Linked DNA regions of Lonchura striata. The protein of the gene in region 3 interacts with the protein of the main gene of each other region in a pairwise test. Links are inferred from orthologs where the notes say so. Each region holds a gene or a part of one and is shown on either strand. Other genes may lie near its edges.

Evidence for each region.
Region 1: the proteins of ABI2 (region 3) and GCC1 interact in binary tests that used the Homo sapiens proteins (3 or more experiments, as listed by UniProt). The link is inferred for Lonchura striata from reciprocal best matches to the Homo sapiens genes ABI2 and GCC1.
Region 2: the proteins of ABI2 (region 3) and ARHGAP32 interact in binary tests that used the Homo sapiens proteins (3 or more experiments, as listed by UniProt). The link is inferred for Lonchura striata from reciprocal best matches to the Homo sapiens genes ABI2 and ARHGAP32.
Region 4: the proteins of ABI2 (region 3) and LMO2 interact in binary tests that used the Homo sapiens proteins (3 or more experiments, as listed by UniProt). The link is inferred for Lonchura striata from reciprocal best matches to the Homo sapiens genes ABI2 and LMO2.

What each region holds. Positions count from the first base shown.
Region 1 is NC_134607.1:72,892,613-72,899,908, forward strand, and holds the start of GCC1 (GRIP and coiled-coil domain-containing protein 1), read right to left. Parts: upstream 3,010-7,296; 5' UTR 2,998-3,009; coding exon 2,982-2,997; intron 1,955-2,981; coding exon 1,023-1,954; intron 471-1,022; coding exon 1-470. Other genes in the region: acrosin, read left to right, coding at 5,535-5,605, 5,725-5,967, 6,344-6,621. UniProt on the Homo sapiens protein: Probably involved in maintaining Golgi structure.
Region 2 is NC_134625.1:1,488,549-1,496,001, reverse strand, and holds the start of ARHGAP32 (rho GTPase-activating protein 32), read right to left. Parts: upstream 3,014-7,453; 5' UTR 2,821-3,013; coding exon 2,771-2,820; intron 1,922-2,770; exon of another isoform or gene 1,793-1,921; intron 1-1,792. UniProt on the Homo sapiens protein: GTPase-activating protein (GAP) promoting GTP hydrolysis on RHOA, CDC42 and RAC1 small GTPases. May be involved in the differentiation of neuronal cells during the formation of neurite extensions.
Region 3 is NC_134610.1:24,751,697-24,759,371, reverse strand, and holds the start of ABI2 (abl interactor 2), read right to left. Parts: upstream 3,004-7,675; 5' UTR 2,932-3,003; coding exon 2,815-2,931; intron 1-2,814. UniProt on the Homo sapiens protein: Regulator of actin cytoskeleton dynamics underlying cell motility and adhesion. Functions as a component of the WAVE complex, which activates actin nucleating machinery Arp2/3 to drive lamellipodia formation.
Region 4 is NC_134608.1:54,470,415-54,478,079, forward strand, and holds the start of LMO2 (rhombotin-2), read left to right. Parts: upstream 1-4,661; 5' UTR 4,662-4,668; coding exon 4,669-4,705; intron 4,706-4,944; exon of another isoform or gene 4,945-5,003; coding exon of another isoform or gene 5,004-5,010; intron 5,011-5,113; coding exon 5,114-5,291; intron 5,292-7,665. UniProt on the Homo sapiens protein: Acts with TAL1/SCL to regulate red blood cell development. Also acts with LDB1 to maintain erythroid precursors in an immature state.

The DNA.
Region 1 (7,296 bases), on a different chromosome or scaffold from region 3:
TGCTGCGCCCTCACCTTGTAGCGCTCGAACTCCTCCTTGAGCTGCCTCAGCTCCTGCTGGCAGTGCCCGCCCGAGGCCTTGTCCCCGTTGCCGTCCCCGCCGCCCGGGGGCTGCTCCGGCTCCCGCGGCTCCTCCGCCTCCGGCCCCGCCGGGCCCTTCCCGGCCGCCGCCTGCAGGAGCTTCTGCAGCTTCTCCATCTTCTCCTTGAGCGCGCCCACGTCCAGGGTGGCCTCCTCCACGGCGACCTCGCCCAGGGAGCGGCTGGAGGCGGCGATGGCCAAGGTCTTGTTCTCCAGGTCCAGCTGCACGATGCGGTCCTTGAGCCTCTGGATGGTGCCCTGGTCCCTCTGCTTGGCCTTCTCGTAGGTGCCCAGCAGCTCGGACACCTGGGACACCTGGGCCTCCAGCTCGGCCACGCGCCGCTCCTCCTGCTGCGAGCGCTGCCGCAGCTGCTCCTCGGCCTGGGCTGTCTGCGGGGACACGGCGGGGTTAGGGCACGTGGGGACACGTGGGGACTCACCTGGGGTCACACGGGGCCCCTCCTGTGCTCCGAACCAACACGGGGCCCTCCCCACCCCAGGAGCCCTGCCTGGACACCTCCCTGTCCTGGCTTTTCAGGGGTTTGTGCTTAGAATCGTGGAATGGGTTGGGTGGGAAGGGACCCCAGAGCCTCTCCACGACTGCCATGCAGGGACACCTCCCACTGCCCCAGGCTGCTCCAGCCCCAGTGTCCAGCCTGGCCTTGGGCATTCCAGGGATCCAGGGGCAGCCCCAGTTACTCTGGGCACCCTGTGCCATTTATTTTGAACCTCCTGGAATCTGAAGGATTGGGAAGGGGAATTTGACTCCAGCCCCACTCCCTGGATACATCCCACACAGAGCTGCTCCCCAGAATTATCATCCCATCAATCCGCGATGGGACGCTTTGGACTCCGAGAGACTGGGAGAGGGGATTTGGCTCCCGCAGCCCCAAACCTCGCCCCAGCTCCTGCGCACCACCCTCATTCCCAGGCAGCAATCACCTTCTTCATCTCCTGCACCAGCTGCAGCTGGAAGTGGTTCTTGAGGGCGGCCATCTCCTCCTGCAGCTCCCGGATCCGCGGGTCCGCCCTCCCGCTCTCCTCGCGCGCGTCCTGCAGCTCCCTGCGCAGCTCCTCCAGCTCGTGGCTCAGCCGCCGGCCGTGCTGCTCGTGGCCCGGGGCTCGCTCGGCGGCGCGGCGCGCGGCGCGCTCGGCGCGCAGCAGCTCCTGCAGCTCGCGCAGCATCAGCCCGTGGTCGGCCTGCTCGCTCTCGCGCTCGCGCTGCTGCGCGGCCAGGCGGGCGCGGGTCTCGGCCAGCTGCTCCCGCAGCCGCCGCAGCTCGGCGTCCCGCCGCTCCGCCTCGTCCCGCGCCCGCCCCGCCGCCTCCTCCAGCTCCTGCTTCATCTGCCGCCGCTCCGCCTGGTACGACGCCTCCATGCGCGACTTCTCCCGCGTCACCGTGGCCAGCGCGCCCGTCAGCGTGGCCAGCTGCGCCTTCAGCTGCTGCAGGCGCCGCTCGGGCTCGCCCGGCGAGCCGCCCTCCGAGCCGCCCGGCTCCTCGGCTCTCTGGGAAGCGCCGCCCGCGGGTTTGTCCTCCTCGTCCCCCCCGGCGCCGGTCAGGCCGGCCGCGGCGTCCGCGCCGGCGGCCGTCCCCGCGCTGTCCTCGCTGTGCTCCGAGCTCCGGTCGTCCGGGGAGTCCCCAGCCCCGGGCGGGGGCACTGCGAGGTCCCCGTCGTGGGACACGGAGAGCACCTTCAGGCTGGCTTCCAGCGCCTCCTTCTCCTTCAGGAGGCTCTTGTAGGCCTGGACCACGTCCTTGAGGCGCGCCTGGAAGCGCAGGAGCTGCTGCTTCTGCGTCTCGATGGTCTCCAGCAGCTCCTTCCTGCTGGGGCCGCCCCCGAAGTTCATCCCGAACTTCTCCATGGCGGGGGGATCTGGGGGGGAAGCAGGGCAAGGAGAAAAGGCACCTTTGGCACGGGCAGGAGCATCGCCCTGGGCCCACCAGGACACCAAAGGGGCAGCAAACACCACAGACACCACCCCGAACCCCCCGGCACCCACATCCCGGCCAGCCCAGGGCTCCCATCCCGACCCCCTCGAGACCCCCATCCTGAGCCCGCCAGGACATGACCCGGACCCCCGGGACACCCCTCTGGACCCCCGTGCAGGACCCCCATCCTGATCCCTCATCCTGACCCCGGACACCATTCCAACCCCCGGCACCTCCCGGACCGCCCTGGGCCCTCCACTGTCACCGCCTCGGGACCACCAGAGCCACCGCGACCCCCGGACACCACCCGGGCCCCTCACCGGCACCCCCCGGGACCATCCTGCCTCCCGCCCGGATCCCTCCGGACTCCCGGTACCCGCCATCCTCACCGCCCGGTACCCGCCATTCTCACCCCCCGGTACCCGCCATCCTCACCCCCGGTACCCTCAGCCCTCACCCCCCGGTACCCGCCATCCTCACCCCCGGTACCCGCCATTCTCACCCCCCGGTACCCGCCATCCTCACCCCCGGTACCCTCCATCCTCACCCCCGGTACCCGCCATCCTCACCCCCGGTACCCGCCATCCTCACCGCCCGGTACCCGCCATTCTCACCCCCCGGTACCCGCCATCCTCACCCCCGGTACCCGCCATTCTCACCCCCCGGTACCCGCCATCCTCACCCCCGGTACCCGCCATCCTCACCCCCGGTACCCGCAGCCCTCACCCCCGGTACCCGCAGCCCTCACCCCCGGTATCCGCCATCCTCACCCCCGGTATCCGCCATCCTCACGCCCGGTACCCGCCATCCTCACCCCCCGGTACCCGCCATCCTCACCCCCGGTACCCGCCATCCTCACCCCCCGGTACCCGCCATCCTCACCCCCGGTACCCGCCATCCTCACCCCCGGTACCCGCCATCCTCACCGCCGGTACCCGCAGCCCTCACCCCCCGGTACCCGCCATCCTCACCCCCGGTACCCGCCATCCTCACCCCCGGTGCCCGGGCCCCCCTCACCTCCGGCCGGTTCCGCCGCGCCGCCACTTCCGCCGGAAGCCGCCGCGGGGGCGGGGCAAACGGATCCGTTACCGGGGGCGGTTCACGCCCCTCGTAAGGCGGTTTGTGGGCGTGGCCCACGGGAGGACACGGGGGACACGGGGGGACACGGGGGGACACGGGAAGAATACGGAGGGACACGGGGGACACGGGGGGATACCGGGGGACACGGGGGGACACGGAGTGACACGGGAAGAATACGGAGGGACACGGGGGACACGGGGGGATACCGGGGGACACGGGGGGACACGGAGTGACACGGGAAGAATACGGAGGGACACGGGGGACACGGGGGGATACCGGGGGACACGGGGGGACACGGCGGGGCGGAGCCGTGCGCGCGCCGCTCGGGTGTGGGCGGGGTCTCCCGCGCGGCGGGGGCGTGTCCCGGGCCCTGGGGGCGTGACCGGGACCTGGGGGCGTGGCCCGGGCCCTGGGGGCGTGGCCGGGTGGCGGGGGCGTGGCCCGGGCCCTGGGGGCGTGGCCTGGCGGCGGGGGCGTGGTCTGTTGGCGCGGGGCGTGGCCTGGGCGCCGATGGACAGCCGTGTCCCCAAGGGGCGTGGTCAGTAATGAGGGCGTGGCCAGAGTGGGGGCGTGGCCTTCGGCCCCGCACCGCAGAGTGGTGACAGCCGGGTGGCCCTGTACCTTCGTGTGTCCCCTCGTGTCCCCCCGTGGCCCCACGTGTCCCCTGGAGTGCCCCGTGGCCCCCCGTGTCCTCCCGTGGCCCCCCGTGTCCTCCTGTGTCCCCTCATGTCCTCCTGTGTCCCCTTGTGTTCTCCCCGTTTCCCCCCGTTTCCCCCCGTGTCCCCCCGTGTCCCCCCGTGTTCCCCGTGTCCCCCCGTGTCCCCCCGTGTTCCCCCGTGTTCCCCGTGTCCCCCCGTGTCCCCCCGTGTCCCCCCGTGCCCCCCCGTGTTCCCCGTGTCCCCCCGTGTCCCCCGTGTCCCCCCGTGTCCCCCCGTGTTCCTCGTGTCCCCCCGTGTCCCCCCGTGTCCTCCCGTGTCGCCCTCAGTGCCCGCCATCCGCGGGGGTCGCGGCGGGCGGGCCAGAGCCCCGGCAGGGAGGTGACCCCGAGGGTGTCTCCGCCGGGAGCGCGGAGCGGGCCGAGCGGTGTCCCGGAGCGCCGAGCGGTGTCCCGGAGCGCCGAGCGGTGTCCCGGAGCGATAAGCGGTGTCCCGGAGCGGACCGAGCGGTGTCCCGGAGCGCCGAGCGGTGTCCCGGAGCAATGAGCGGTGTCCCGGAGCGGGCCGAGCGGTGTCCCGGAGCGATGAGCGGTGTCCCGGAGCGATGAGCGGTGTCCCGGAGCGATGAGCGGTGTCCCGGAGCGGGCTGAGTGGTGTCCCGGAGCGATAAGCGGTGTCCCGGAGCGATGAGCGGTGTCCCGGAGCGGGCCGAGCGTGTCCCGGAGCAATGAGCGGTGTCCCGGAGCGGGCCGAGCGGTGTCCCGGAGAGGCCCGAGCGGTGTCGCGGCCCCTCCCGTGCCGTCCCCACGGCGGCCGCGGTCCCCCCAGCCCCTGCAGCCCCTCTCCAAGCGGGTGTCCCCTCTGGGGACGGCCCGGAGGAGCATCCCGGCGCTCCACACCCCCCGGTAACGATGGGGAGCAGCCGCAGCGCCCTCGGCTCTGTCCGAGCCAGCCCGGGCAGCGCCGCCTCAGCCGGGCCCGGTCCCCCTGTCCCCCGCGGGAGGGAGCCGGGGGTGCTCCCGGTGCGGCCGGAATCGCCCGGAGCCGCCGGGAGGAACGGAACTCGAGCTGCTCCAGCGTCCGTCAGCCCGGCCCTGCTCTGTCCCTGCCCAGGGGCTCCACAGAGAGCCCGGGACAAAACTTTGTCACCCGTTTGTGCATTCTGAGCCGACAAAGAAATCAATGTTCATTGCTTCTAAATGACATTAAAACCTCTTTCATTAATTAGCGTTCTGTCTTCTACTGGTTACTGAATTATTCCTTGGGCAGGGACACCTCCCACTGCCCCAGGCTGCTCCAGCCCCAGTGTCCAGCCTGGCCTTGGGCACTGCCAGGGATCCAGGGGCAGCCCCAGCTGCTCTGGCAATCCCAGCCCAGCCAGGAATTCCTCATTCCCAATCTCCCATCCATGGCTGCCCTCTGGCAGTGGGAGCCATTCCCTGGGTCCTGTCCCTCCATCCTTGTCCCCAGTCCCTCTGCAGCTCTCCTGGAGCCCCTCCAGGCCCTGCCAGGGCTCTGAGCTCTCACCCCCAGCACCCCCAAATCCTTCTCCCAGGGCTGCTCCAGCTGCTCATGCCCAGCCCGGTGCCGGGCGGGTCTGACCCCATGCTGGTGCTCTGGGTGCTGCCCCCAGACCATTCCACATTCCACTCTGTGACACCGAGCTGCCCCGACCCATGGAACCGACCGTCTGTGACATCAGCCCAGCCTGGTGGCACCGTGGGCACTGCCAGGGCCGCGGGTGGCACCAGAGGTGACAGTTCTGCTCCGCCTCTGCCACCTGCAGCGATGGCTTTGCTGGGGCTGCTCGTCCTGCTGGCCCTGGCCGGGCCCGTGTGGGCCACCTGGGACACCTGCAGGTCAGGGGGGCTCGGGGACACTCGGGGGCTTCCCTGGCACAGCCTGGGCACAGAGGAGCCCCTCGGGGTCCCTGTCCCTGCTGTCCCCGAGCAGGGCAGTGATGGCTCTGTGCTTCCAGAGGCACCTGCGGGCTCCGGCCCTTGGCTTCCGACCACAGCTCTTCAGTTCTCGACTACGACTCCGTGACTTCTGCTGCTGACCTGTCCCGTGTTGTGGCTGGCACGGGTGTCCAGCCAGGGGCCTGGCCCGGCATTGTCAGCATCCAGGCCACCTGGGAGAACGGCACGTGGCACATGTGCTCGGGTGTCCTCCTCAGCTCCCAGTGGGTGCTCACGGTCGCACACTGCTTCGCCAGGGCCGGGTAAGAAACAGCAGGGACAGAGATGTCCCTGGGGCAGGGCAGGTGCCCAGCTCACAGCACCACGTGCCACTTCCCTGCCCGCCTTGGGAAGCAGAAGGCCGGGAAATGCTGGGCTGCTGCAGCCCGTGGCTCTGCTCCCTGTCACCCCTCTGTCCATCTGCTCCCTGTCACCCCTCTGTCCATCTTTCTCTCTGTCACCCCTCTGTCCATCTGCTCCCTGTCACCCCTCTGTCATCTGCTCCCTGTCACCCCTCTGTCCATCTGCTCCCTGTCACCCCTCTGTCATCTGCTCCCTGTCACCCCTCTGTCCATCTGCTCCCTGTCACCCCTCTGTCCATCTTTCTCTCTGTCACCCCTCTGTCCATCTGCTCCCCAGGGGCATCTCCAGGTGGGAAGTGGTGATGGGGGTTTCGGATCTGAGCCAGCCGGGCCCCGAGGCTGAGGTGAGACACATCCAGAGGCTCCTGGTGCACCAGCACTACGTGCCTGCCACAGCCAGGAATGACATCGCCCTGGTGGAGCTGGACCGGCCCGTGGAGTGCAGTGACTACATCCAGCTGGGCTGCGTGCCCGACGCCTCCATCAGGGTCTTGGAGCTGAAATCCTGCTACATCGCCGGCTGGAACTTTGCCAGAGGTGAGCTCCCAATGGGATGTGTACTCCGAGGGTGAGCTGGGCACTCCGAGGATACAGACTGGGCACCCTGGGGACATGGACTGGGCACAGACAGGGACACAGACTGGGCACAGACAAGGATACAGACCAGGCACCCCGGGGACACGGACTGGGCACCCCGGGGACATGGACTGGGCACCCCAGGGACACGGACTGGGCACAGACAGGGACACGAACTGGGCACAGACAGGGACACGGACTGGGCACAGACAGGGTCCAGCTGCAGGACGTCAGCGGGGCCGGGCTCGGAGCAGCCCAGGCTGGGGAAGGAGTCCCTGCCAAGATGGGGCATGGAACGGAATGAGCTGTAAGGTCCCTGCTCACCCAAACCATTCCTGCTGGCCCTGTGAAGCCTCAGGAGAGATGGGTCTGGCTCCTCCCCAGGCCAACAGCAGGGACACAGCTGGGCAGCATTGCCTCGTGGGGAAGGGGCAGGGACACAGCTGGGCACATTGCTGCCTGGGGAAGGGGCAGGGACACAGCTGGGCAGCATTGCCTCGTGGGGAAGGGGCAGGGACAGGGACACAGCTGGGCACATTGCTGCCTGGGGAAGGGGCAGGGACACAGCTGGGCACATCGCTGCGTGGGGAAGGGGCAGGGACACAGCTGGGCACATCGCTGCGTGGGGAAGGGGCAGGGACACAGCTGGGAACA
Region 2 (7,453 bases), on a different chromosome or scaffold from region 3:
CTGAGTAGCTGCACCATTCCATCCTAAGGAGCCGAATGGAATTCTAGAAATGCCCACTCCTTCGAAGCCCCTGCCACTGCATCCTGTCACTATTCCCAACTGAAAAAAAAAACACACAGAAGTTGTACATCTGCCTATTTTTTACTTTTACATGAAAAAACACAGGAGTCTACCCTGCTCTGACTCAACAGCTAACGAGCTGCCTGCTTTGGTCTTGAGGCTCAGAACTGGGAAGCTCAAATCCCATCCCAGTTCTCCTGCTTTTTGTCCATCACATTCACAGTTTCAAACTCACATTATCTCTCCTTTTCCCCAAGGATTCTGTGAAGTTTTTTCTGCTTTTCTTCTGGCTGATAACTGAATGGAACCTGGAAATAACATTTCTTTTTTTCAACATAAGTGAAAACTAAGGATTTAATGCTCTTTAATGACAACTATCAGGAGCAGAATATCAAAAGATTAAACTGTGGTCCCTGGCACCAGAGCATGAAGTCGTCACAAAGTATCAAATGCTAAGGAGAAATACAGTTCAACACAAAGGAAGATTAAACCAAAAAGCTTGACAAAGCGGAATTAAATGATTATTTCTGTATTTTTGATATAAATACTGAGGGTATGTCACACAGGACATTGTTACACTGGTTGTTGCAAAAAGACCTGGGGGAGCCAAGGACGTGCTCACTAATGGACTGATAAAATTGTCCCCTCCTTGCAATAAGAAAAGATGTGGGATTTTTTCCATGGAAAGCATCCCGGGGGACCGGAGCCTGGGAAAGCTGTGTGCTGGAGCTGGAGGGCACGCAGAGGTCAGGAGGACAGACAGCTCAGCCATGAGCAGGGGACATGCTGTGACACCCAAGTCACCCCAGGCTGTGCCGTGCCGAGCACCAGGTCCGAACATCAACCCCCCAGCCTGGCTCCAAGATACTCCCCACCCCGGGAACATCCATGGCTCTGCCCCTGTCCTCCCAACCACTGCCCTGGCACCAGCTCAGCACTGCTGCTTTCTGTCCCTCTCCCCTCCAGTCCCAAAGCCACTGTTACGAGTAGGGCAAGGACTCTACAGCCCTCCGATGTGCCACTCGGAAAAGGGCGTTTTTCCTCAAGGAAATCTGCATCGGCACAGCACATTCACTTCGACATCAATAACCAGCAAACTCCCCGCACTCCAAGCATCCATCAGGAGCATTGGAGTGAGAGCAGGAAGTTAAAAATACTCCTATAATCCTGTTAAATGCAAGCTTTGCTTCCAAAAAACAATACCAATTTTATCTCTGTGCTGAAAGGTAGGACATGAACAAGAGATCTGCATTCAGAGAGGCAACCATAATAAGCTCATCCTTAGCTCTGCCATACTCTGGACTCTCTGCAGAAGTGACAAAAAAAAAGGGGATGTCACTGCCAGAACTAAAACCTATTTAATCTGCAGACTTCATGGATGACAAGATCCATTTGGAGGAAAACTGCATAGATTTTATCAAACCACTGCTAAACTGACTTCAGCCAGAAACCTCATACTGCACATACTGACACTGCCAGCTTCTCACAGCTCATTCCCAAAGGAATTCACACCAAACACAAATCCTGTAGTTCTGATTTACAAAATTCCCTCCTGTAAGCCTGTGGCTCTATCCTTGGGTAACAACATATTGCCAATATATTGCATTTTCTGCTTTTTCCATAACAAAGGAAGCCGGGGAGTGCAAAGCCTTCAGCATTAGCATACTAGACACAGTCACTTTTTAAATACAGTTTTGTTTCCAAGTAAGTGGAAGCAAAATTTTCCAACTACCTTTCTCACAGTGCCCAAGTCAAATAATGAGCAGATATCCAGCAGCAGCTTTCCTAAGGATAAATATTTCAAGGAAGAAAGAAAACACAGACAAATTCAAAGAAATTTTGCAGTACTGATGTAAGCTACTCTACTTTGGTTTCTGGCAGTGTAAGTGAATTAGGAGGAGTCAGCATAAATTACCAAGACTTTGTTGATAATGTCTTAAACAGTGAAATAAGAACCTGCATCTCCAGCTTCTGGCACCTTGGTTCATAAATAACTTCTGGTGTGGTAAATCCACCTTGATCTGTAACCCAGGTAGGCAGTAACAGCAAATTTTAAATAATACCGGGTCCACATCTCCCTCCTTTTTACCTCACCAGTAAATATTTATTCACTCTCAGCCCTGAAGTAGAAAATCCCAACTGAACTGCAGCAGCACTAGGCATACTTCCTATCAGACACAGCACAAACCAGAGTCCAGGGTGAAGGAGATGATTTGCCCTGAAGATAATCAGCACTGCCTCATTCCACAAGAATTTTAACAACATACTCAAGATAACCTGGCCCTCCAGAACTACTGCTCCCAAACCCATATCCCATCAACAGCTCTTCGTTATCCATTAGAAAGGAAAAAAAAATACGCTCAGCAAAGAGCCCCTGTGACTATTGCTGCTTTCACACAAAGTACATACTGTGTGCTCCTCTCTGCTATGCACAGGATATAGTACATTTTTTAATAAAAAAAAGCATTTTCTGTCATGCTGATAATCGCATTCTACACACTTTACCCGTAAATGCCTCAAGGACTGCTGTCATAAAAAGGATAGGATGCAGAATTAGACTTTGTCTGCTTTTTGTATGCTGCTGGGAGCTACACAGTGTAATGTGGCTGAAGCAGACAATTAACCTTTCTCCATTCAAACGCTCAACCACTTAAGACACACAGTCATTTACATGGGTTAAAAAATACAGCAAATATTAAAATGAACTTGCATTTGCTGGGTGGAAACGCCACGCTTGCCTTCCTTAATCCCGCTGTACATTTTTATTAGGCATCGCCGGCTCTGACCAAGTGTGAAATAATGACATCTCTCGGAGATACGGTCTCAGCACGCCATTGATGAGGGTTAAAATAAGGGAGGCTCGTCCCGGAGGAGCGTCCTGAGGGTGCGGCTGGCACTGACCTGCGCGATCCATCGAGGCCGCTCCCAGCTCCGGCTCCAGCTCCGGCGGTGCCCGCGGCCGAGCGGCGGCCGGGGCAGGCGGCGCCGCCGGTCCCTCCCTCCATGTTGCGTATACGGCACCCAGCGAGCAGGGAGCGCGCAGCGCAGGGAGAGCGCAGGGAGAGCACAGAGCACACCCAGCACGGAGCAGAGCACACACACACAGCACGGAGCGGAGCACACCCAGCACGGAGCAGAGCACACACACAGCACAGAGCGGAGCACACACACCCAGCACGGAGCAGAGCACACCCAGCACGGAGCGGAGCACAGAGCACACCCAGCACAGAGCGGAGCACACACAGCACAGAGCGGAGCACACACAGCACGGAGCAGAGCACACACACAGCACAGAGCGGAGCACACACACAGCACAGAGCGGAGCACACACAGCACGGAGCGGAGCACAGAGCACACCCAGCACAGAGCGGAGCACGCACAGCGAGCACGGAGCGCGCAGCACAGAGCAGGGCACACAGAGCACGGAGCAGAGCACACCCAGCATAGAGCAGAGCACACACAGCACGGAGCAGAGCACACACAGCGAGCAAGGAGCACACACAGCGAGCAAGGAGCACACACAGCGAGCAGGGAACACACACAGCGAGCAGGGAGCACACCCAGCATAGAGCAGAGCACACACAGCGAGCAGGGAGCACACACAGCGAGCAGGGAGCACACCCAGCATAGAGCAGAGCACACACAGCGAGCAGGGAGCACACCCAGCACGGAGCACACCCAGCACGGAGCACACCCAGCACGGAGCACACCAGGCGCACACGGAGCCGCGGCAGCAGCGGCGTGGAGCTGCCGGGGGAAGGAAGCGGCAGCGGCTGCTCCCGCGCCAGCCCCGCCGCGATGCTCCCGAGCCCCGGGTTTAGCCCCCCCAAAAAGGGCTGTTCATAAAGGAAAAGCACAAGGCAGCTGGCGGGTCTGGGCTCCATCTTGCCCTCCCTCAGCAGCACCGATTCATGTTTTCCTGAGGCTGCTACAGGCATTTCAGCTGTAACCCTTTCCCGGCTGCAGGAGAAGGCATCTCTTGTCCTGAGCACCTCCATCCTAGTCCCTCGGATACACGTAGGGATGTTTTCACCTGCTCTGCATGGTTTAACCCCTAAATAACACTCAAACAGGTGACCAGGTAAGGATTATATGAGCAGGAGTTATTCCCAGTTCTGCAAAGTGGTTAACCTTGGATATATCACGTTAATATGTTTGCTGTTCTGCTTCCTCCTTTTGGAAAACAAAGTAATATTTACTGCATTCCCAGAGGAAACGTGTAAGCCTTAATTTATTTCCCTGTTTGAAAACGAGCTGTGTAAAAACTGCTATTAAAATTTCTAGTTCATACATCAAATCAGAAATGAGAAATAATTATTACAACCCAACTTTCAGATCCCATTAAAAGACTGAAATCCTTCACCAGACCACCAATGCAGCAGTGAGGATGATGAGCTCTCCATCCGACACACTGAGGCCTGGCCTAGCAAATAAGAAGAAAGCCTGGATGATGGACGACCCTCGTTTGGCCATCAGCTTGTTGTGTGACCGTCATCAAGTCATTTTAATCTTTCTGTATCAGTACAGAATGCAGAGCTCTTCTCACTTCTGTGAAACAGCCCAATAATTTCTGTATTGTTATCACTGCTACTCCTGCCTGAAGCTCAAAGGTACAAGCTAGAATTTGTAGCAATACTAGCTATTGGCTGGTCACAGCCCATGGAAACTCCATGTAGAATCTAAAGGTTTTGCACATAGCTCCTTTCAACACAGTAGGATGCTGAGGGTTATCAGTGTAGGTGAAGATTTGGGGGAGGGAGGAGTGTGAAATTCTGTATGCTCTTGGGACTCAGCAAAACACCAAGTTCAGAAAGACAAAAAGACTTCCAAAACACCACCATTTTGTTTAAATTCAACAGAAGAGGCTGCACAGCCCCAAATTATACAGAACATTCTCTACAACTGTTCTTTTTTAGTCTGTAATGGTTGGATCAGCACTGCTTGCTAAATGCTGTACAACCGAGTGACAATAACTCCGTTCATCAGCCCTGATGGCTAAGGACACAGCCAGGCCAAGCATGAGCTCAGCACTTACAGGAGACAGGGAAGATTCAAGCTTGGCAAAGCTGAGCAAAGTCAAACAGGTTATACCCGTTCTGTGCCTAGAAAGCTTAATGATCCTTTCCAAATCCCTCTTTCCCAATGCTAATTTTTCTTTGTTTCACCAAAACAGACATGCAGGAATGGGACAACCTAAAGATAGAAGAACTTAATAGGAAACAACATGTCCATTGAGGAAAAAAAGCTGTTCTCATTTTGCATCAGTGGCTCCTGGGCTGCAGAAGCTGTTTAAACACCCTTCCTGCCCCTGGACCTGCAGCTCCCAGTGACAGAGACAAAGGGATACTGGGTGGATCATCCCAGGGATTTTATACCTCAGCTGGTGGATTTACCTCTAACTTGAGTGGGGAAGTAAATTCAAATTCCAAAACAGGATAAAACAGAAGCATGCTGAGAAGTGAAGGATTTGCATGAAGTGATGGGGACAGAGCCAGGGCAGAGGTCCCCAGTGGTCCAAGGCCCCAAAGCACCAACAGAATAAAAACACAAGGTAAGAAACTCTGTGGAAATTCTCCACCAGGGTGTACTACAATAAAATACTGCACCCTAAGGTGACCACAGATAGAAGATAAACTTCTGCTTAAAGGAATGAGACTAAAACTCGGTTCCACAGTTCCTGGTGAACAGTGTTCAATCCAAGCTGAATGAAACAGAATCAAAGCAAAACCAAAGCTGTCACTTCAGAAAATGATAAAGCATAAAAGCACAACAGACACTGTCCACACAGCATCTGCTACAGCTTAAGGTCTACTACCCTGCTTAGAGGAGTAGAAATAGCTATGGGGAAAAATTAGAGAAATGTATTTACTACAGCTCCAGCTACCTGGAACTTATGACAAGTAGAAAGAAGGTGCATTTCAGTGCAGAGAGACTGAGCACATGCACTCCCTGCACAGCCAGGAGTTGAGGCATGGCAGAGGATTGTGCCCTGCTGCTGCTTTGTGTTTCCATGCTGAGATCCCACCTCCAGCTCCTCCTGCCAGCTTCTCTCTCCTCATCCAGGGCTACCTGTTCTCCTGCACTCCAGCTACAAACCTGCCAAGGCCAGAGCCTCTCTCACTCTTTATCTGTACATTTTTCAGTGCAGCAAAGCCTTTTTCCAAGGCCAGGGCTCAAGGACTGTACAGCTAAACAGTAATAAGGATTTTGTTTCACAGCTAACTAGAATTCACCAGTTATTAGGAACACCACTGGGCATGTCCAAGTGTCACATTTAAAAAGGTCTTTAATGATGTCTCTTGGAGAACCAGGCTCAAAACTCCTATGGTTTGATGTAACCTCACAGGTTTCCTGCACATGCGCTGGGTTCTTTCTGCTGGAGGTAAATTTTTACAGTAATGGATAATTTTTCCAATACAGACAAGATCTCTCTCCAGTCAGCTTTGTTTTTCCTCCAGTTAGGGCTTGAATAACAAGTGACTCAAATGGTGCTTTGTTGTTTTTTTCTTTTCCAATTAGGAGAACAGAGCAGAGAGGTATCCCTAACTGCAAGCTCTAATTTGCTGTTAAAGTAGGAATTGGCTTGGAAACATTTTCTCTTAATCCTTGGAATATCAGGGGGTGGCTCAGAATCAAATTCAAAACAAATCTCCAACCTGGAAAGCTGCTCTATGACATGGCCGAACCCATGACCAATTTGTTTAACTTCAAGTTGATAGAACTAACATGGATAATTTGATTACATAATGATTCAGCTTTCTAATACATAAATAAATTTTGGGAAGCTGCAACAGCAACTCCTATTTCAGACAATTCTCTCCTAACAGAAATTTCAACCACTTCAGGAACAGTATTATGCAATTCTTTACCACTTCTCACCTCTGCCAGTACTTTCTTTCCACCTCTGATAGTTTCTCTGAGTTTAAATACTATTCTATTTAAGAAGATAGAAGTGCCAACCAAGAGAGGATTTTAAATATAACCTCTTTGATTGCTTGAGGTTATCTATGCAGAAAAAGACCAAGGATGCTGCAAGCCTTCCTCCCTTGCTCCTTGCATAATTTTTCATTAAATTAAAAATGGAATTGCCATTAATAATGTATGCAGAAGAAGACACTGTAGGATCACTTTTGTTTCCAAAAGCAAATTAATTTACTGCAAAAATAGTTCAATGTTAAGATATACAAATTTTTGACTAAGTTATTTGAAGCACCACTATTGTAGAATATTTTACAACCACAGTTTTAGCTGAGGTGCTGCTCAATACAAACTGAAGTGCAGGAAACAAAGACCAACTGGACAGCTGGAACCAAGAAACTAAAATATTTAAAAGAAAATCTTGCTGCTAGCCCAAGCTGAGAACTATTTCATTGCTAATTAATGATATAGGTCA
Region 3 (7,675 bases):
GAAGAAACTTTTTTTCCTCCAAACAGCAGTCTTTATTTTCACTGCTGCAGGTCCATTTATTATATATTTGCTGTATTTCCTATAATTTTCCACAAAATTTAAAGCTGATGTTTTCTGATACACTACCATATAACAGACTCAAGGGAAGGATAACATTTTATGTAACATTCCCTGTTGCTAAAGTCATCGAGCTACACATCAATCATAATTTGGTTAAACACTGACACAATTTTTAAGAACAGGTTTTTCATTTCATAAGCAGAAGTCAAATGAGTAGCAATTGCCACAGCTCTACTACTATGAACTAGCAATTTCCTCATGTATGAGATTACATTTTAATTATTTTGAAGCTGCAATTATGTTGCTAGGTGTGGGGGAAGAGAAAAAACCCATTCACTTCAAACCTGAACTTCAAATTCTGTTACACTGGCCTCACTGGCTTTTGCAACAGTTTTTGCAGGCACAATAAAACTTCAAAGCAGCAATTGGCACAGAAAGGGAGTGGTTTGGCTACTGAAATAGAAAATACAGACCAGTGCAGGGCCTTCAATGTTCCCATCAGCACAGCACCTACCAGCCTGCAAATAAACTTCAGGTCTCAGTCACGTTCTGAGCCTCTCCTAGATCTCAAGATTACCCACAACAAATCCTCTGTCAGCAGTGAAATACTACAGGATTACAGTAGAATTAGTTCATCTTCATTACGTGACTTTCTGAATGATTATTCTTCCACGCATTTCAGAGCATTTACAAACCCATCTTCCCCTAAAAACTCAAGGCCACTATTTTGAACATAATTTGGATTTCTTTCAGACATAACAACTTTAGAATAATAAATATTATTAGAAGCAAAACCACAAATATCCAATTAACCAATAGTTATTCACATTCATCTATTCCACTCCCACAGAGAAGAAAAAAAATCAGCTTTTTATAGTGATCTGATGCAGCAGTTTACATAGCTCTGGGATTGTGAAGGTGGGGCAAGCTCACTGACAGATTTGTTACTAGGACACTCATCACTAAATCCAAAATCCCCTCACACTGAACCTCTTCTCCACAACAAACCCACCCTGTTCATGTCTTGGAGCATTCCAAAAACCAGAGCCTTCTGCCTGGCCGATGGCTCCATTCCCCACTTCCTTAAAAATTTAAGCATGTTAATGCTGTGACCCATACTGCACCTCACAGCCAACGCTCACAACACAATTTCATTCTTTAATTCTCACTTCCCCCTTAAAGCTCTCTGTTGTCATGATGCTTGGATAAATTGCCAACAGTCAGGATATTGCTGTGTGGTGGTCAGAATCCATCAGGCTGACCAAGAGTGCCTCATTCTTTTCCTTCATTCACCATCTGTCTGTATCCATCTCCTGTGATCCTAGACTGTCCTTATGGACTGCGCTGTTTGGGGCAATAGCCTTCTTTTTTTCCTTCTCTATTTGCACAAAACAGCATGGAGTCCTCTTCTGCAGTATTCATTAAGACATTAAAAGTGGATCTGTTCCATAGAGATTCACAAACTTTGATTTATACAAAGAATAAAGGAAAAAAAAAGTCAAAGGAAAAAACCCAACTACACGCAGTTCTTCCTATCTGGTTCTGCCTTCCAGTGCTCCTCTCCCATATTCCAGAAAAATCACTTCTCAAAAAAGCAGAAATTTAAATACAGGTATGTCAGGTTGTAACTCTAAGTAAATATTTCAACATGTCTCTTAAAAACCCTAAGTCACACTAATTCAAGATCAGAAGTGTTATTACATAATAAAATACATCTATAGCATTCTACTGTAATTGACCTGTTTTGTAAATGACCCAAAATATGCAAAGTCTTCTCTCTAAAGAACAGCTGGTCATTCAGCAGTTCAACAAAATCAGTGAGAGCTTTTTTAGAGGGACATTCTAGGTATTCTCTGCCTCTGGTTAAATAGTCTCTCCCATTTTCACTGACAGAACAGTCTCAGCACAGATCTCATCGCTAGCTGCCCTCTGGAAGCACACGAGCACTCTGCCCTTCGGGGACTGAATTCAAAAACAATTCTGGGACACTTTGGAATTCTCTCAACACTGACACCAGAAATCCACATCATTCCCCCCCACCTTTCTCTACTGCACACTCAGATATGTCTTAGGGTATCTTCTTGTGTTTGAGGGCAAAGTTTTCATTTGGCCCTATTATCACTATCAAAGAATCCCAGAGAATTTTGCCCTTCTTTCCACTAGAAAGAGAAATGAAAAAAGCAGAGTCCTAACACCAGCCTGGCTTTAGAGCAGTCACCGCAAAAACCACACTATGCGGTAGCAATTTGCGCTTCATCTCTTTCTCCCTAATTCTGTACCAGCTCTACTACATCAGGCTTCCTTCCATCCTGCACCTACCACTTGGTAGCTGCCCTTCCAATGGAATTCCACAGTCCTGCTTGAGAAGGGAAATACAAACGGACAGACTTAACTCTACTGAAGCCTGTCATTCTGCTCTAAATTACAAGGCATCGACACTGTATTTGCAGGAGTCAGCCGTGTTTATCACATCACCTCGGCGCCGGCAGCAAAGCAGATCAGAATTTGCGGAGGGAACCAAAAGGGGGGACAGAGACAAGATCTGCAATAAACATTCACTCGCAAAGTGGAAGCAATTCAGTTCGGGAATCAATTACACATTTAAGCGCCTCGTCACGCCGGGGTAGCTCACGCTGGAGGTGAGGCAGCTTCCCCCCCTGCCCGGCTGCAGCAGCCGCCGCGGGCCCGGCAAGCGGGGCAGCCCCGCGGGCGCGGCCGTGAGGGCGCGCCCGGCCCGGCCCGGCCCGCGCGCACCTGGATGTAGTTGGTCTCGCAGTACTCGGCCACCCGCTCCAGGTTCGTGTAGCTGTCGAACAGGGCCCGGCGCCCCCCCGGGATCTCCTCCTCCAGCAGCATCTGCAGCTCCGCCATCTTCACATCCTCTCTCTCCCCGCCCGCCCGCCGCGCGTCCCTCGCCCCCTCCGCTCCGCTCCGCTCCGCGCGCCCCCCGCCCCGCGCCCGCCGCCCGGGCCCGGCCTCGCGCCGCGCGCACGGAGCGCGCGCCAGACCCCCACCGCGGCGGGGGCGGGGCGCGGCCGCGCACCGCCTCCTGCGCATGCGCCGCCCCGCGCGGCCCCCCGCGCGCCCACTTCCGTGCCGGCAGCGCGCGGGGGGCGTTTCCGGCGGGAGAGGCGGAGGGGAGGGGCGCGCGGCGGCCCCGTGCCGCGGTCAGGGGGCGCGGGGTGCGCCCTGCGGCGGGCCCGGCTCCCTTCGAAACCCTCTCGCCTTCCTGCACTCCCCTGCTGGCAGCGCGCCCTGCAGCGCACGGGGCTGCGGCCACCTCTGCCCATACCCCGGGGGGCTCCGAGTGCCGTGTGAGCGCCAGGCCCTCCTGCTCCCGGGCGGCTCTAGTGATCCCCGCAACAAAATGTGTCCTCTGCGCGGATCCGCTCCGAAAAGCTGTTCTACAGGGGCGTGAGGAAGGGTGACCTCCCAGCTTTCCAGCCCTGCCAAAAACGCACTTAACGAAGGGTCAGCAGAAACAGAGGAAGGGCAGCCTCGTGGCAGAAGCCCTGCACTGAGGCCATTAGGTCTGTTCGGTCAGTTCCTGCCTTTAACGCTGACGTCCTTCATGTCCCAGCGAAGTCGCTCTAGAATTGTGATGAAAATGCCCACCCTTCGAGGAGTGTGCAAGACTTTCCCACTCAATTCCTCCACCTGAACCTTTCTCCCACAAAAAAAAAAAAAACAATCAACCAGCCCTCTCGGCAGAAGCGTCCCAGCTTGCTGCAGGTAGCTCATTTGTCCCTTTGAAATGAGTTGCAGCTGTGATTGCTCACCTCGTGTTCCCGTGAGGCTCCACAAAGCTCCTGCTGCCTGTGTACTGCAGCCCAGGGCGCTGGTACAAGAGCCTGACGCCTTCCCAGCGCTCACCTTACAGATGCTTTGGGAGCTGGCCAGGGAACAGCCAGCGCTGCAGGACCTGGGCATCAGGCTGCTCCTACAGAACAGTTGTTCTCTGGCTTTGCTGCTGCAGAGGCATCCAGCTAGATATGCCGGACTTCTAGAATTGCAGATTGCAAACACCTGGGGAGCGGGAGAGTCAGGCAACAAACTTGTAGTCTTTGGGGCCAGTCCTTGGAAATTTCTTCCCTTAAAAGAAAAATGATATAGAAATCCCTGCTCTGAGGGTCATTTCTTCTAAGCTTGCTTAGTTCTCCCATGTGAAGGATGAGTCAGGCACAGTGTTCACCATATTGGTGAAAAAACCCTCATATGCAAAGCATTTTTCTCCCATTTTAAAATGTAGTCTGAAATTCACAACTTCAACTACTTTTCTACAAGCAGTTAGAAAGCCAAGGGCAATTTGTAGCTGTAATAGTCTTACTCTCACAAAAAGGCTTGTGAACCAAAGAATACCCTGCCAGAGCCACCTCACCGTGATGCTTGTGGGAGGAGAGAGGTGACTGCTCATGAGCACCTGTGCTGTCACCAAACACCCATGGGGTCCCTGAACACCCGTGGAGTCAGGCTGCCTGCAGCTCTCCACAGCAGTCTGGCATTCTGCCCTAAACCCACAAGGAGCAAAGAGGTGTCATGCATCCTCATTCTTGGTGCCCTCTACCCACAGAGTTTATAAACCATGAGTTACACATCCAAAAATACTGGGTTTGGGATAGTTAAAAATGAATCATGGCTGTCAGCTGCCCTGCTGATTGTTAATGCATGTCTTGAGAGAGTGTCTTTTCTGCAATGGCTCAAGGAAGGAAAGCCAGCCAAATCAACTCAAGAAGGCTGCTGTACAGTGTAGAGCTCCAAGCCTTATCCCACACCTCCGAATCATCCATGGCCAGGCCTCCACCACCCCTAGGGTGTGCAGCTGATGAATAATGCTTTTGCAGTTTGGTAACAGGTCCCATGCTCCCTCCTCCACTGCAGCTGCAGCTTGGATTCTGCTCGTGTCACATCTGCTGCTGCTGTTGCAGCTCCAGGGGTTGCTCAGGCCCATGCTTCCAAGATTCTTTGTGTTTGTGCCAGGCTGGAGGCAGGGGCTGAGGCTTTCCTTCTCTCCTCATTCATTTGCTTCTCAGGTGTGAAGTCAAGCTGTCATTTGGCAGCTCCCCAGTAAACCTACATGATCCTTCTCTTGGCAAAAGGAGAGAGCTGTCAAAATCTATAGGAGAAGGTTCACCAAAGATGCTGTTAGGAGTTTAAACTTGGATTAGTAGCACCAGAGTGTAGGGAGGGGAAATTGTTCATTGTGTCATCTTCTCCCTGTGCCCTTGGGTGCCACCAGGGCCTGCTTTCAGTGGAAACCTGTGAGAGCCCATCTGCTCTCAGATCTGTACTCAACATCAGCAAGCCTCCTTACAGACACCTCTTGACCTCTCAAGGGCTCTGCCTGTGGTCCTTAGGGTGTAAGAAAAAGCATTATCTGAAATACATGCACACAGCTGTTCACCAGAGTAGCTGGACTAACCTGTCTGCATAATCAGGTGCTTGTTATCACAGCATGTTTACATTTTAATAGGGTACTCATTTATGGATTTAAATTTAAACATGAAGAGTCCTTCTGTCAGAATAATGGCCATCCTATAATCCCCTGTATACATACAAAAAATACTTAGAAATAGTGTTTAAATTAGATCAACTGAATCCAACTACCACTTCCCTAAATTTACATAAATTACTTCCCATCTGTCAAGTGATGTGCTAAACTAATTTTAAGTTTTTATATTCCCTCAGCCCTAATTTATTACACACTTTAATTTCTCCAATTTTTTTCAATCCTATTGTGCAAGATTTTCCCTTATATCAATATCTTCAAGACTGAGAAACAAACACATTTTTAACCTAAAGGTGCCATTCAAACAGCCACCAAGAAATAGAAAGGCAAGCAGTCCAGAGACTTTAAATTGGAGATCAAGATCCAAAAGCACAGGGAAACCACTATTCTTCCAACTTCTTTCACATGTCAGGGTTTTAGCCCTGCCAATCACCCAAGGGAGTCCCCTCGTCACAAAAATTTGCACGGATGAACCAACCCATTGGTCACATGCAATCCTGCAGCTGAGCACTCTGCATGGGTGTCCCACACATACAGTTTGAATCATCGATTCTTTATTACAGAAAAGTAATAATGGGGTACCTCAAAGGCCACCTATGTTTTGCACACAGTAAGAAATCACAATCAAAGTCTCTTCCATTTTTGTTACTTTACAGAGAACTGAACAGCACATCACATAAGGGGTGCAAGTAAACATCTTCTTTGGACAGATGACCAGGTCAGATCTTGGATAGATCCTGCTGCAGGTTTTCAGTTCACTTCTTTATATAACTGTACTCTAGTTTTATGAACATTTTTCCTTTTATCTTTTCACTCTTTGTAAACAGCAGAACAAAAGCTGAAAATCCCTGTGCTGCTGCATCACATGGAGCTGAGCAGATTTGCAGCTGGATAAAGGACAAAGGACTCTGGTACCAAAGTTTCAGTCATGTGTACTGATGATATATACAGGCCCATGTCCTTTAGGAGGAAGGTAGCATTTACTGCAGGGGTGAGGGAGGGAAGGAGAATTGGGCAATTGAAGAAAATAGTCTGTAACTAAAGCATGTACCTTCACTCTCCCAACAGGGACGTAATCTTCACGCTTGCCTCACACAGTGTTTGGGTCTGCCTCTGCCTGGATAGACACTCTTTGCCAGTCTCATAGTCCAAAGTTTCTGAAGCAGTTTACTGAACTCCCATGGCTATTCCAGAATGCTGGGGTGGCTTCCCAGCACAGAATGCAGCTGTCTAATACTGCAACAAATGATGTCAGGATCCCAAGGCATTTTAAACACTCAACCTCCAGTGCTCACTGTAAACCAGACTGAAAAACCCACACACCCTGAAGCTGCACATTCTCCTCCTGCTTCCTCAGGCATTTAGCAATTTGCTGGGCAATCAAGATTCTAACCACAGATAACCTCTCTGCTTATGAGAAACTGCTGCTGGGTAAAAGGCTGGCTGCACAAAGGTAGGAGAGGTGACCAGTGGAGTAGCTTCCATCTCATGGAAGTGTTTGCCCTAATTTCCCTAACACTGCTATTTCAGAACCATCTAGTGTACAACTGACATCTGATACCTCACAGCACCTCCAGAGAGGAGCAGGACATGTTGCAGAGATTCAGACCATCTGTTTGAGGGCACGTCTGATTCCAAATCCCAAGCTTTCTTCTAGTTTTCTGCTAGACTTTCTTTTAACAGAGCACTGTGTGAAGACAGAGCCAGTACAAGGGGAGGTACACTCCCAGGAAGGAAGAGGTCAAGCCAAATAGGAAAAATTATCTAACATTTCAGACATTAAAAGAAAACAGGTAACAAATGGTCTCAAAGAGAGGCCAGCACAAAGCATAGTTGCTCATCAGTTCCCTTCCAAGGGATCAAACAACAAGAATTCAGGGAACAGGGGAGGAAAGAACAGCTCTCATTTATTTTTCCTGCTGGTATTCCTTCTCTAAGATGCTAACCCAGACCAACTGCCAGTCCTTTTCCACTCTATCCTGACCCTGTGGCATCTCCCAGGTAAGGTCTGATATGGTCACTAAGCCACTGAAGGGTAGTTAATGCTCCAGCACAGCACATACAACAAAAATTCATCCTCTCTGAACTAGTGATTCTGGTTCACTATTA
Region 4 (7,665 bases), on a different chromosome or scaffold from region 3:
ACTTGAAAGGACTGTACTGTAGAGCTGTAGCCTTATGAAAACCATGACAGAGTAATTGGATCTGGCTTGCGTGCAAGGCAGCAAGAGAAATCAATAAAAGAAGAGGGAGGAAATGGGGAGGGGGACCTTTCACATTTTTGCAGTGAAATATCCCTTCATCTGACTGCCTGTAACTAACTTTTCATCATCCCTGATGTGATCTGTAGTTGAAGATTTCTCTGGGCTATAACCATAGTTGCTGGGGTGGGTGGTTTTATTTCTCTCATCTTTGCTGCTTGTGGGAGAAAATAAGACAAAGCAAAGCAAAACAAAACAAAACTTTGTAACTGCCCAGGCCTCTGTGTGCACCAGGATCCTTATCTAATGTCTGGACCTCACAGTCCCAGGGCAAACCTCACCCTGAGTGTGGTTTTTATTGTTCTGGTTTGTTTTCTTCCAGTTCAAAGGAAGGGTTGAGCCCCAAAAAGAGAAGTGTGTCCTTGGTCAGAAGTCTGTAAGTTCTCTGAGTCACACTTCACCAAAAGCCTCCAAAGTATAATCAAGTCAGTCATGTGGTCATCACTCAGTGACAGCTCCTTATCCTCTCTATCCACCTCTGTCCTCAGGGAGGTTAGAAAATGTGTTAATTAGAAGAATGATGAGGAGGGATTTATATAAAAAAAAAAAACAACAAAATCAAAACAGCACTTGTGGAGAGCACACCGACTAGAACAGAACTTACTGGCTGAAACAAAATTTCCAGATTCATGAAAAGGGAATAATTTTTTTTTTTTTGTCTTTGAATTATGTGGTGCCCTTCATGCCATTAATATGACATTGTGGTGAAATGAGTAACTATTGATACTCATTATACTCATCATATATTGATAGCATTGGTTCTCCAGTGGCACAATCCCACCTCATTGGCAGCAGCTGGTTTATACAGAATCATGGAATCACAGAACAGTTTGGCTTGGAAGGGACCTTAGAGATCCCCCAGTTCCAGCCTCCAAATTCCTCCCCAAATATTCTGTGTTCTTTAAGAGAGATCAAGGTTCTCCTTCTGTGGTGTCAAATTTAGGCTCAAAAAACCCAAACCAACCCAAAATTCCATTACTTCAGAGCCTCATCTCAGGGGCTGGCAGGTCAAGGCTTCAGTCCAGTGTGTGGTGGGAAAGAGGAGGAGTCTTGCAAATAGGTGGATTGGAGTGGAGCAGTGATTCTATCACCAAATTGTGGCTCAGCAGCAGCAGACAGCCCAAATTACAGAAATCCTGATTCCTTTATGCCACCTTTCCTGTTAATTGTTCACCTTTAGTCATGGTCTTGACTTTTCCCTTCCACAGAAGCATTAACAGAAAATCTAGGCCACCATCACCAAGATTTAATTCTTCCATCTATGCAGAGACTTCAATCTTCATAAACTGCATTTTTAGGCAACCAGCATTACTGGCTATTGAGGGCAGCAAAGTTAATCTTACTGAATACAGACTTTTCTAAATGAGGGTGACCTGAAATAGCTCAATAGTATCCATAAGCTATAGAGGGGGATAAAGCTGGGATATACCAAAGGAATAAAGGTAGGAACAACCTGAGGATGAGTGGTGATGATATTTTGGCCTTCCAAAACCAAGCTGAAAATACTCCCTGAGTGCAAGAGAGGATGTTTCTTTGGAAACAGACACATTGAACTATTCCTTTAGATTACACCACTCACAGAAATGACGCAGCTTTACATTACATTCTTATTGAGAAACATCCAGAAAAGTCCAGCTGACTTACTCATGGCACATTTTTCCAAGCCCCAAATGCTAAATGTAGTCTCTAACAGCAGATTTGACCCCAGCCATGCTCCAATAATTAGTCTATAGCGTGATCTTTATTAATAAAAGTTAATTGAAACCAAAACTCATCCCTCGGGACTTCCAATCAATGAACACACATGCACACACAAAAAGCCACACTAAAGAGCACTGGAAAATGCAGCTTCACAAAGAAAGAAACAATGGAAAGAAAAGCCCTCACTAAAAATAGTGCTGGTCTTTTTGTGCCTGGGCAGGAAATGTCGGCACCACCAATTCCAGCACTGAATAACGCTTTGTCTTTGGGAACGTTATTCAGCAGGAGGCAAAAGTAAATCAACAGCCAATTCTGCTGAGGAAAGTAAACATTTGCAGATGGGAAAATTGAGGCAAAATGGTATTAAGGGACTTGCTCAAAGTGAAGAAAAAGAAGTCCTTCTTGATTGCTGGTCATCTGTTCTGCTGGGACAAAAAGTCCTCAGCTGGAAAGGCCAAATGTCACTGTCCAGAGCAAGAGCTTATTATATGTAAACCAAATAAATGAAAATGGAATTTTCCCAAAGAGGTGTATGGCTTTGTTCCTCAGATGTATTTGAAGACGCAGTTCTTGGTCAGCATTCTGAGGACCTTCTTGCTGAGCTTTTTGCTGCAAATCCAGCTTTTTCTTCACTTTCCTTTGCGTATGACTTTGCTTGGCATCTCTCTTTCACAGGATCGAGAAAAAACAAGAAATAATCTCAGTTTTAATTACAATTACTTTAGATGAGGAGACAGATGGTACTTGCAGGCCTATGGAGTGATCCCAGCACTATCACGAGTTCTGTGCTTAAAGATCTGACTTCATCTGGGAAAGTTTGTTCTTGATCTGACTGAAAAAGTCAAACACATACAAATTGTCCTCTTCAGCTTCAATATTGCACATTATTCCACTGTTTTTATGCAGAAAAGCTTTTCTGCAGTGAAGGGACTGATCTGGCAATGCAGAGAATGTTCCTGGTCTGTCCATCAGTGCACATGCTCAACTATGAATATGAGAAATATCTCATTATCTGGCAGACCTGAGGTGGTCTGAGCAAAGCAAGGAATTGTGAAACCTTAAAAATTATTTTTTCTCAATAATCGCTGGCCACCATGTATTGTAAATCCTCATTTTGATGTTGTTTTTCTAGGGAATTAAGTAATTCCTTATGTGCCAATGTTGATGCTTTTGTCCCTCACCAAAACTTTTGAACTCTTTTAGATACACAAAGGCATAGAGGTCTTAAATAAATTAATTTCCTGTGAATTTTGGGAAAATAAATAGAAGAGGGGCAGCAGGCCAGCACGTCTGCAGTGCGTGCACAACTTCTGAGCTCAGAACATTTACTGGCATTATGGAATTGCTCACATTATTCCACGAGCAGTTTATCAGAATATGAGTACCCCAATCATCAGGGAAATTTTGCATTCTATGTTTTAAGAGTTTATATTTTATTAAAACTTTAGACACTGGAGAAGCCAAGCTCATAGAAATGTCTTGGGGTTTTTTTAAACATGTTTGATGTCCTGCATGGTTTTGAGTTGCCTTTAATTAAATTTTTGGTTCTTTTTATAGCCAAGTGAAGTTTCTGGCAGAATTTTTTTTTTCTCATGAAGTCTTACAATAGTTTATCTATTCAGTCTTCTGGCAAGATTTACATTTATTTTACTTTGCTGATCACAGGGTAAACATGCAAGAAATTAAATAGTCATCATATAATTTAGTCCTGTCTGTGAAAACCTAACAAAAGAGCCTTTTCCTACAACAGAAATGAGACTGACTGTCCTGTTGTAATAGCTTGAAATGCATTGGAGATAATGCGTTTAAAGAATAAGAAAGATATGTTCTAGTAAGCAGTGATAGCTCTAAAGTATTTCAAGAGCTGGGTTCAAAGTCCCTTGAAAGAATAACAGTCTTTCTGCTGACATTACTAATATTTGGATCAGGCTCATTAATGTATTGCAGATATTATATCCCCAGCTGCCAAAAAGCGGGGAAAAAAAAGGAGAATGTAGTCATAAAAATAGACATAAAATACATTTTTCTTGTGGGAATTAATATAGAAGCGAAATATTGCTGCTACCACTACTCTCCGGGGCTTTATTACAGATATTTCTTTACTTTTTTAAAAGGAATTAACAGGGCAAGCTGTTCATCCCATCCAGAACTCTGCCTCCAGCAAGGGCCATCGTCTAATGCCACAGAGCCTGGCAAAGGCTCGGATTGCTGCAATAGTTTTCACTCCGGCGCTGTAAATCAGTCCTTTCCGGGATGTGCTGTGCTGATGGAGAGGAGCAAGGGTGGGAGGAAAAATAGAAATATCCAGGCAAGACTTTCCCCATCTTTGGCGTGTCTTGGATTAATTACAGATCGATACTTGGTATTCGCCGGCTTTCATAGCTCATTAGCATCACACGGTGCCCGGGTGTAAATTTGTTACAGAGCTTGCCAAGAATCCGGGGGTGTCTGGAAGCAAATGTTCACTCGGTCTGTAAATGAGACACAACTGAGCTGACCAGTTTGAACTCTGGGTGGACAAATCATGTTCGGGATCTTTACCTGTGGCTCTCCAAGAGCCCCGCGAACCCATGGGTGCGTGTGGGCATGTGCATGTTCGTGTCAGAGAGGGAGAGGACGAGGAGAGGGATGGCGAGTGCCGCTCCTGGGTGCAGCTGAGAAGGCGGCACAATCCGGAACCAGGCGCTTATTTTATTCCAGCTCTTGGGATCATTCTCAGGTCGCCCACCTGCCTGCGCACAGAGACAGCGTTAGTAAGGGAATAATAATAACGTGAGAACGCCCCGGCAGCCCCCAGCCCTGACTCTGGGGAGCCCCGCTCTGTCTCTTTAAGGAACCCAGCGAGTCGTGATGCTGCTGTTTGTATTGCCGAATCCCCAGGAGTGCAGTTAAGAAACGGGCAGCTGTCTCTTTAAGTGTGATTTCCTTCTATTGTATTTGAATCGTGATCAGGAAAAAGGAAATGAAACCAGAGAGCCGGGGCTGAGCCACGGAGTAATAATAATCCAGGGGATGCGGCTGCCGCCGCTCGCAGCGCTGCCGCCCGGGCGCGGAGCGTGTGCGGAGCTGCCCGCGCGGAGCCGCTGAGCGCCGGGCGCGGAGCCGCGGTGGCGGCCGCGGCCGCCGCCCCCCGCCCGCCGCGGGAGCGGCCCCGCCGGCCGGGGCGCGGGGGGAGCGCGGCGGGGATGGGAGGTCAGCGCCGGGGTGGGACGTGCGGGGCCGGGGTGGGGGGGGCTGTGCGGGGCCGGAGCGCAGCCCCAGCCCCTGTGTGTCTCTCTCTGTCTCGGTGCTGCAGGAGGAAATCCTGTGAATGTCATCGCGGGGCGGCGGGGCAGCGCGGCTGGCGACAAGGCTCCGCGAGCAGACAGCCTCTGCGGGGGCGGCGGGGGCAGAGCCCACCACCGGCACGCCACAAAGGAACCGGCCCTGCCAATGTCATCGGCCATCGAGAGGAAAAGCCTCGATCCTTCCGAGTAAGTGCGCGCTTCTTCTGCCCGGTCCCCCGCTCGCCATCGTCCCCGCTCGCCTCCCGGTGCCACCCGTCCTCCCCGACGGAGCCGCCGCCGGCATTGTGCGCCTGGCAGCCCCGGAGGGCTTCGGCGGCAGCCCCCGCAGCTCCGACCCCCTTCCCCTGCACAGGACACCGGGCTGCCCCGGCCCCGCAGGGCTGACGGCGTGGGGAAGCTTGCGGAGAGCCTCCCAAGTTGAGGGAAGAGCAGCCGGGAGAAGAGAGGCGCAATTCCCCCCGGGCAGGGCATCTCCCACTCCCTCATCCCACCGCGGAGTGGTGGGGATGCTCGGCGAGAGAGGGAGCGTCCCGCTTCCCAAGCTTTCAGGTTTTCCATCCCGAGGGGCCCTCTCTGCCCCATCCCCGATCTGCCCGAGTCGCTGCAGACGATCAGTGAAAGGTCAGGGCTGTTAGCTGCGGGTGCCCAACTTCCACGTTTTCGTAATGCAACTTCCAAAAGCTCGTAGAAAGCTTTGGTGGGGGCTGGGTGCATGCTAAGAGCATGTAGACAGACTTGATGGACGGGATGTAGGAGATGAGAATTTCCCTCTCTGGGCTTCCCACTCAGGGAAGGGACCGGCTTCCGTGTCCAGATCCAGGCTTTCTCCCGGGGGGTGCTCCCGCTGTCCCGTCCCTGCTGCACACCCAGGGATGGTAACTCGGCACAGACCCAGGGCCACTTCAGCCCTGAACGTGCTAATTTACTGCACTGAGGCTTGTCCGGGATCGCGGTAAGAGAGAAGAAAAAAGAAATAAATTATAAAATCTCCGTTTCTAGATAACGCTTAAAACATCGCTCTCAGTAAATTGAGTCATACGTGGTTTGTTTCCTGTCAGATACTAAAAATGCCATTGCTTGGAGCCCGGAACGAGCACATGGGAACCGCTGCTTTTGGGGATTACATCACTTCATTCCATGATGTTTTACATGTTACATTTTCTTTTATGCTGTTTTTTAAGAAACTCTAATCTCAGCTCCTAATGATGTCCAGCTTTCATCTACAAAGTTTTTTTTTTAATCCTTATTTATTTACCTGCCTTGTGTTCTGGTGGCTTAAGTGCTGGCTTAGAAATCCATGGACATCAAAAGCCTAATGAGTTAACCAGGAATGCTGTTCTGCATAAACATCCGTTGGGCTGTTCCTGAGCTTAGGGCTCTCAGTGAAACCTGGCTTGAGATTCCCAAACACCCCTCAGATGAAACATTTTGGGGTACACTTCAAAGTTTCAGATAACAGAAAATGAAGGATAATGATGTGTGCTTCCTTCTACTGGAAAGCTCTCAGAAGTTCTCAGCATGGAGCCCACGTGTTAGGAAAGGGAGTATGTGGCCCAAAAGAATAAATTTGGGAAAAAATAGGGCCTAATAATGAGTTCCCCATGATTTTAATGAAAACTCACAGGATGGTGAGCTGGCAGGAGAGAGGTGTTACGACATAGCTTGCAGGGCACAGCAGTTTAAACTTAGAAGGGAGAAACCAGACAGAATAGAACCAGATAATATCTCAGAGCTCAGCTTGCCTAAATAAAACTCCAGGATCACTTTCTCAGCCGAGAAGTTTTTGACCAGAGGTCGTTTCTCCCTGCTGAAGAAAGTAATTTTTGCCCAGAAAACTGCTGATCCAGTAAATAAGCAGGAGTAATACAATTTTTTTCCTGTTGCCTGCTGGAAACAGGGAGCAGAGCTTCTTCATCAGTGTAGGTCTCCTCTGCCCCCAGCAGCCCACAGGAGGACAGACAAATGACAGAAGCAAATTGCTCAGGGACTCTGTGCTGGAGCACTAATCCAATAATATGAAAAAATTTGGGGTCCACTCTACTAGCTAAAGGTTTGAAATTAAGCAAATGCTTAAGGGATGGATCCAGTAGATTTTTTAAATTTACTTTTCTGGCATTTGGGTGAAGCCCAAAACAATACAAAACTGAGTTCAGGCACTGTTCTTTTAATTTTTTTTGCTGTTGTGAAATTACCCCAAAAGACACAGAAGTCTTTAAGAAAGTGGCTTTGAAGAAAATTCTCACTTCTTTAACCAGAATTATCCTAGATCTCCAAGCTTTTTAGAAAAAGGAACAAAATAAGGTGCATAAAGAGTCAGTGCTAATATCACAATAAAGATTTGTGTCTTCTTTCACTCATGGATGTGTAAATCCCAGATAATTGAAGTATGTTGGCACAGACCCATCCCAGGGGATTCATGTCCTTGGCTAAGGGAAAAAAGAAGTCCTGCAGCAACATGAGGTAAAATGCTGGCTTTATTAAAATCAGCAGCGAGACTTAAACCAGTTGGGCAACAGAATCAGCTGTTGTGTTTATTAATTTCGTGCTGTTCTGAGAAGTG